Danio rerio: one gene and its partner. The protein of the gene in region 2 purifies or fractionates together with the protein of the main gene of each other region. This does not show direct contact. Links are inferred from orthologs where the notes say so. Each region holds a gene or a part of one and is shown on either strand. Other genes may lie near its edges.

Region 1 (4,423 bases), on a different chromosome or scaffold from region 2:
GCAGACCGAGGTGGATCGCCACCATCAACAGCTTTGACACGGAATGAATAATTGTTTCTTTGCTCACGATCAAAAGCCATGTTTGAGAAAATGGTACCTGTGTTGTTGTCAATGGAGAAAATGTTCTCCTCCTCCTCAATGTACAGACTCATATCTGCATTTTGCCCTTTGTCAGCGTCCATGACTGTAATCATGCCAACAGGACTGTTGGGTTGAAGGTTTTCCTGTATATAGAAAGTGAACACATCCTGCATGAACTTTGGCTCATTGTCATTTTTATCTGCCACCAAAACTACCACCGTGGCTGAGCCCTGCAGAACTGGCATGCCTTTGTCTTTGGCGATAACTTTGAACTCATATCGTTCCGTCTGCTCCCTGTCAAGTATGGTGTTGACACGGATGTCACCTGTGTCTGCATCAATTGAAAATATTCCGTTCACAGAGGAGTCCAGGGAGTAGGAGATTTCAGCATTTTTGCCACTGTCTGCATCTAAGGCCACTACTGTGACAACACGCTCACCGGGAGCATTGTTTTCAGGAAATGAAACCTCCACTGTGCTTTTGCTAAAAACTGGTGGATTGTCATTCATGTCCCCCACCTTCACTATTAGTGAATTGTTGCTAGAAAGACTAGGGCTCCCAGAGTCCACGGCAACAATGACCACGTTATACTCCTGCACGGCTTCATAATCAAGTGGTGCTGATGTGTGGAGAAAGTACTTCTTTTTATTCATGTCACCTTCGACCTCGCTGGCAGGTTTCAGCTGAAAAGGAACATCACCCACTACAGTGCATGTCACTATACCGTTTGGTCCTTTATCTCTGTCTGACACTTGCACGAGAGCAATGGGTGTATCGACAATCACATCCTCTGCCACATTAGCCACGCCGTCTTTCAGAAAGATGCGTCCAATTTTTCGGATGTCAATATTTGGGACATTGTCATTTTCATCTTTGATGTTTATGATCACTGTCGCCTTGTCAGTTTTAGGAGGCTGACCACGGTCACGTGCCATGACTGTGAAACGAAGCTGGCTCACATCTTCACGATCAATTCGGTGCAAAACACTGAGCCAGCCAGTGCTCTCATCAAGCCGCAGCAGTCGTCGCACTGACTCTGTGGCTGCTCCGAAAACATACTCGATCTGTCCATTAACACCAACGTCAGTGTCACCTGCCTTTAGCTGGAGTATGGGGGCACCTGGGGAACTGTTTTCTGGTAGGTCTGCCTCATAAACACTTTTCTCAAAGCGTGGGGTGTTATCATTTACATCTGTGATCATTACTCTCAGAATGGCTTGGGAGGAGCGTGGGGGGTCGCCCCCATCTCTAACCCGCAGAGTCAGCTCATAGGAGTCGCGCTGTTCTCTGTCCAGAGCCCCTTTGATAATTAGCTGCGGCTGCTTCTCGCCGTCTGTGGTGTCAGCAACTTGAAGTTCAAAGACGCTGCTACGGCTTGCTCCCTCGTCGAACCTCCGCTTGCCCGAGTGACTGTCAACACTGCCCGAGCCGGAAGTGCCGATTCGCCTGACAGTGCTCTCGCCGTTGTCCTGAATTAACTCGTATCGCTCAATTCCATTCCGACCAAAATCTCTGTCGGTGGCAGTGGGCAGGAGATAAAGTGTGCCAATGGGTCGGTTCTCTTCAACGGAGAGCGTGAGAACAGGTGAGGGGAAAGACGGCGTGTTGTCGTTAATGTCTAAAATAATCACTTTGCCTTCGAAGAGATCAACCCAGCTCTGCGCGGGTCCTATCACAGACACTTCGAAATCTATAAAACATTCGTTCTCATCAAAAATCATTTGACACTGCGGCAGCTTTTCGCGGTCTATTCGCCGCTCGTTTGTGCTGAGGTCTCCGGTCATGTTATCGATTTTGAAGTACTCGGAGCCTGATTCTAATGTAAAAGTCACGTCCATGCCTGCCGTGATGCCGAGGTCCGCGGCTACATTACCTACCCGGACATCGGCAGGACCCTCCTCAGCCAGGCGGTACCGGAGCACTTGCTTGGCTGCGGGCTGACTCAGCAGCTGCAGAATAAGAAAGCAGTAGCTTAAATAGTCCACAATGCCTGTAGTCCTCATAGCTCCTGGCGGCTTTTCCAGCAAAACTGAACGTGAATTCTGTTTAACAGCTTTTTCTTGCTTGTGTTAACGCGCCTGTCTCACTGCATGCGTTTTCACAACCGGGCACCTCTATGTGGTAACCAAACTAGCGCATATCTGTTTTTTTCCCCCGCTCAGACTAGACTCGCGCAATTCCTCTTTTTTTATAAATAGGTTTTTCTCTCAAACATATACACAGCACTGACAGAAAGTCTTCACAAATTCATTCAGTATTAAGCTTGAAATAAACATGCCATAAATTACTTGCTGAGACTACTCCGTGTTTGCCATGACTTGACATCGCCGAGTCTTCATTAAAATCATCGAAGCCAGATATTCAATCCATTGCGCAATCAACTGATGAGGTTTTAAATCCAGCCTTCCCAAATGCGAACTCTCCTCTCCAGATGATATCCCACCATACGGAATAGAAACTGAAATATCAGAACTTCATGTGCTGTGGTTATAAGCCGCAAAAGATCTGTGCTATCCGTGTGCCGTGTCCGCGCGCACAGATTTCTCCAGTCCACTCAGCGTCTAATAGTTCTCTCACTTGCACCAGAGAGCGAAAAAAAAATGGGGAAAATCTCCGCAGTGCCGTTCAGCGTTAAGGCAAAATGCAAAACTGAACAATAACGGAGTTATAATCCTGGCAGAGATGCTAGGAATGTGGTATTAAAATTCCAGCGCGAGGACGGTTCCTCTGTCCAGCGCGCGCCTCTCACCTGCAGCAGAAGCGCGTGTGTATATGCCGCACTCTGCGCTCGAGTCTCTCTCTCTTTCTTTCTCTCTCTCTCTCCCTCTCTCTCCACCCCCTTCACGCTGCGCTCCCTGTGCGACAAACAAAGCTCAACTTGATCGCTTAGTTTTACTGTTTGAGGAGGGTCTCTTCCTTTTGGTTCAGAAGGGCATTTTTTATTGCAAGAAGAAAGTACATAAATAATTTATTGTCCAGAAATGAACATTTATAGAGTGTTTGGTGGTTCACTGTGTTCGAAATCTTAAATGCCTCCCAAAAGGGGCTCGACTTTGTAAAGGGAATCACATTCTGCTGAGTGCTTGGGTGTTGCGCAAAGTAAAACTGGTTAGTCAACCGTCAGCTATCTGAAATATGCCTGCATTACGTTTACGGTGTGCAGCTCTATAGTAAAGTCATTAAATGACATTACTTACGTTTTGTCGATGGCACTAAAGCGTAACGGAACTGTTGCTATGGTTACATCCTTATTCAAACACGATTTCTTTAAGCAGGAGTAGAATATTTAGACTGGTTTGTCTTCAAACTTTAGGGAAACATTCTATCTGGAAGGCGTTTTTTTTAAGAATGCAGTGCACAAGTCATAGGTCTTAAATGGGATAGCACGTCATAGAAGTGGTGCGTTTGATAGATTAATGATAGGCCTATATATTAACGCGTCAGCACTTTCCATCTCGTGTTACAACACAAATGCATTCACCTTAAAAAACTTTATAAAATGTTATAAACAAGATAACCTTATGTTATCAAATTAAAACAAACAGAAAAGGTGAGGAAACTGTAAAATATATGTTTGTTTACACCCCTGGCTCCGTGCATAACAGTACCCTATTCATTATGCCACTCCGTACAAGTCAGATCATCTCGGTTTCAGAGCCCCTTGCGGCTTCTCGGTCTGTTAGAATTTAAATGCGTGTGGTCGTTTGTGGTGAGAACATTTCTTTGTCACGAATATGTATGCGATGAGCACTTCTACTACTTCACACTCATGCTCCTCCATCTGCTATGGGCTTTTTTTGCGCAGAAAAGGCACCACGGACAGCGACGCGCCGTTGACTCACCGGTGTAAAGGAGTGAGAGAGCGAGCGCGGCGACTCTCCGTGACCAGAACTCTGATGGAGACCATCAAGCGCACAGCAAAGAGCTACGATTTTATATACATCGCATAGTTAGTAACTTGCGCGTTCCAAAGCTAAAATCATTTCTTCATTAAACATAAATCGACAGTGTGCATGACATTTAAGAATATATTTTCTGCACTATGCCTGTTTATGAAAGTTCATGTTTCAAGGGATGTGCGTTTTTTTTTTTTTTTACTCCACTGAAGTGTGGCTGAGATGGCTGAGCTGGCTGAATCCCCAGCGCGAGGTGACTGGACCGGAGCTGCCGGCTGCAGAAGGATGGAAGCCCCGCTATTCATAAGAACAGTGCGCCAAATGTCGCTAAACAGCGCCCTCTGTTGTCGCGTTAAAATTCTACTCAGCAAATTAGTCATTACAGCATATATGTTGAGCTGGAATTGCAGCGTAGCATGCACAAATCGGGGTTTTCCTGATATATC
Region 2 (3,432 bases):
TTATTAATATGTGTTAAGATACAGATCAGAGCAAACTGTTAACTATTAAAGGGCAGACTCGTCCATATATTTTGTTTTCATGTTCTTTGGGGGTGGGGGGTCAAGCATTAATTAGGGGAAACCCCCCTGTAATTCGCACCCTGCTTCTATGTAATGCATGGAAAATGACTGGTGCTAACTAAGCTACAAAATAACCATCATTATAGAACAAATAAGTTTGTACAAATTTGTAATCCTCCGACACACAAATTACTGATGACCTTTTGGCTGCTCTTTTTAGATAAACATTTGCACAATGTTATTACGCATTAAAGTACAACACTTAAATCATCATACTAGAGTAGAGGCCAAAACAAAATGATGGTTTCAGCTTATCAGTAAAATAAAAATGCTTTCATTGCATCACGCGGTGGAACAAAGTTTCTAGTGTCAAAAAAATGGATTTAGGGTACAAAAAACATTACATTTTTTAAAAGGTTTTGCGAACAGATGACAAAACTGTCTGCAAAAGCTGCATTACACATGCCAGACTAGTAGTTGGTGATTAAACGTATTAAAGAAACACTATGCTCCCTTACACATTGTTTGTCAAGTAATCCAGCATGACAAACAGTCACAATGTCCCTTTAAAATGTCACAGGTTTTTAACAAAATCACGTTTCTGTAGTCAATAATGGTACCACTTTCAAAAACATGTAAATGAACACCTAAAAGTGTTAAATCATGCATCAAAAGACACCAACAGCCAACACAGAGATCTCGTTTTATTTAGAGGCCTCATTTAATCGATAGGTATGAATTCAGTTTACACAAAAACCTTTTAAAAAAGTCAACATGCGGTGATCACAAGGATAGAAAGAAGAGCCTATAGATTCAGAACAAAAGATTGGAGAATGGTGTCTAGGCCATACATGTCAAATATTCACAGTGACTCATGTTTCTTTTCTTGTCCATGTATTCATACAGTTTTAAACGTACAAGGAAGGCATTGTTCTGACACAGAACAGTCAAACATCAAAAGCTTTAGGAATTTTGAAAAAAAAAAACCCTGTACCAAAGTCCAGTTGACTTGCAGGATCCCAACGCACTGCTCCACACCTCCACGACTATCTCATAATTTAAGGAGGTAAACCTGTAAGGACTCTATCATCTTTAGTTCCGAAAGGAAAAGCTGTCATTTGTTTAACATCTAGTTTACGTACCAATTGCCGTGTCCTGGATGAGGCCTTTTTTTCAGTATATATTTAAGGAAGTGGAGACCTGTTCTCTCACAAAGTGGTCTAAAAAAACAAACAAATAAATGCAGGACATAACGCAGCGGAGATACGTTCCTCTCGCTGAAGTCTCTGAAAACATATTATGCACAAATTACTTCGAGCAATATTTTAAAATGTCCAAAAGGAAATTTCCAAACTTTTAGGTCAGTTTCTTGTCACTTCTATTGTTAGGAGGCATCTTTTGTGAAACAGCAGCTTCCTGTGGACACCCTAAAACCAGCATTCCAAACAAATCTGGCTGTTTGAGAATCAGAAATAGTCCTTGTTATTTCACACAGCTGTGATATACAAATGATACTGACCTCCGAAGCTACATCGTCCAAAACAAAAGCGCGTTTCATATCGCATGAAGTACAAACACTTTATAAAATGGCTAGTTTCGTATAAAGTAAGGCACTGCGTTTACTTTTATTCTCTGGAATAGTGCTGATCAACAACTCGGCTGGTTTGGGCCAGTTTACACGTAGGCCCCCAAAGCTGCGTGGAACTCGGTGAGGCATTGGACGAGCTGCTGGAATTTTGGTCTCTCTTCCGGATCCAAGGCCCAGCAACACGCCATCACTGCAAATCTGAAACGGAGAACATCCTCATATAAACAAAGCATTATGTTTTGTTTTGCTGTGGCAGATTTATCAGAGAATAAATAACTGGGTCCACAAGATGTATTGGTCTTGATTACGTTTGACAGCAACAATGGAGTGAAAGTTGAGATCACCTTATCACTCAGTTTCTATTCCAGCTTTCCAACACACAAGGCAAGCCGCAGAACACTTATTCATCGCTTGGTCTCTGGAGGGAAAGTGTGCTAAGCTACGATCCAACACTGATTAGCTTTTCCTGCGTCGTCTAAACTATGTTCCGGTGCTCACGCGCGAGACAATAAATCGTGCTCTGTTTGGGTCACTGACACGGTCAACAACACTTGTTGCTTTGTAATTCCTGGCCGGTTCGATCACCACGGCTCCGGTTGCCTAGCTATTGCAGGATGCCGATAAGGGTCAGATTGTGCAGGCAGCCAGCAGTTGTTGAACTTGGATCAATCTGTCCGTTTCATTTTCTAACAGTTGGGTTGGTTCCCTTACAAAGTAATCAAGACTTATGAAAGCTGTTACTGACACTTTGGGAGTCTTGCCAGTCACGCAGTAATGCAATAGTTTGTTCATTTTAAAATAATTGGCAATCCAGTACGTGCACACCAAGTTAAAAATTAAATTGTCATACTCACAGTTCATCGGGGCAGTTGATGGGTTGTGCTATTCTGTAACCATCTTTTAGATAGGCGGCCATCTCGAAGGGGTCAATGTCAACGTAAGGAGTCTGTCCCAAAGTCATCAACTCCCATAGAGTTACTCCGAAAGCCCACTGTAAGAAAACATCACACAAGAGTTCAGGCAAGGCGCAATAAGGCACAATGACTTAAAAAGAAAGAGGATTCCTCTCTTTAACAAGTGATGTAAACACTCGAGGCAGACGTTTAGGAAAAAGTCTGTTGTGTGCTTACAGGTCCTTATACTGTACATAAACACAGAAGATAAGAAGATTCCAATCTTTATATTGGGCTTATGGGAAGTTTCTTGTAATGAGCAAACTTTAAATAAAATTGAAAATATAGATAAGTATATATATAGAAGTTATATTTATTTTCTGAATTAATGTATGCGTTTTAACTATTTTCTATTATTCAATATAAATGTCACTAAAATATAAACACACCTTTTACCCACAGCACATAAAGTCAACTATATGCGATAAAAAAATAAAATAAAAATTCTTTCATTCTTTCATTTTCCTTCGGCTTAGTCCTTTGAACAAACCGCCAACCTTTCCAGCATGCTTTACACAGTGCATGCCCTTCCAGTTGCAATCCAGTACTGGGAAACATCCATACTATTTTACACACATACACTACGGCCGATTTACCTTATTCAATTCACCTATACTGCATGTGTTTGGACTGTGGGGGAAACCAGAGCACCAGTAAAAAATCCAGGCAAACACGAGGAGAACATGCAAACTCCACACAGAAATACCAACTGACCCAGCCGGAACTCAACCTAGCGACCTACTTCCAATAAGGCGACAGTGCTAACCACTGAGCCACCGTGTCGCCCATGTGATTTTTAACTTTTAACTTTTATTTATTATGACAGTTATA

Evidence for each region.
Region 1: the proteins of ryk (region 2) and pcdh7b purify together in Homo sapiens (affinity purification with mass spectrometry; 3 studies listed by BioGRID and IntAct, with this or other methods). This does not show direct contact. The link is inferred for Danio rerio from reciprocal best matches to the Homo sapiens genes RYK and PCDH7.

Annotation. Positions count from the first base shown.
Region 1 is NC_133182.1:66,389,863-66,394,285, reverse strand, and holds the start of pcdh7b (protocadherin-7b), read right to left. Parts: upstream 2,878-4,423; 5' UTR 2,085-2,877; coding exon 1-2,084.
Region 2 is NC_133181.1:30,101,107-30,104,538, reverse strand, and holds the end of ryk (tyrosine-protein kinase RYK precursor), read right to left. Parts: intron 2,640-3,432; coding exon 2,503-2,639; intron 1,847-2,502; coding exon 1,735-1,846; 3' UTR 745-1,734; downstream 1-744. UniProt on the Homo sapiens protein: May be a coreceptor along with FZD8 of Wnt proteins, such as WNT1, WNT3, WNT3A and WNT5A. Involved in neuron differentiation, axon guidance, corpus callosum establishment and neurite outgrowth.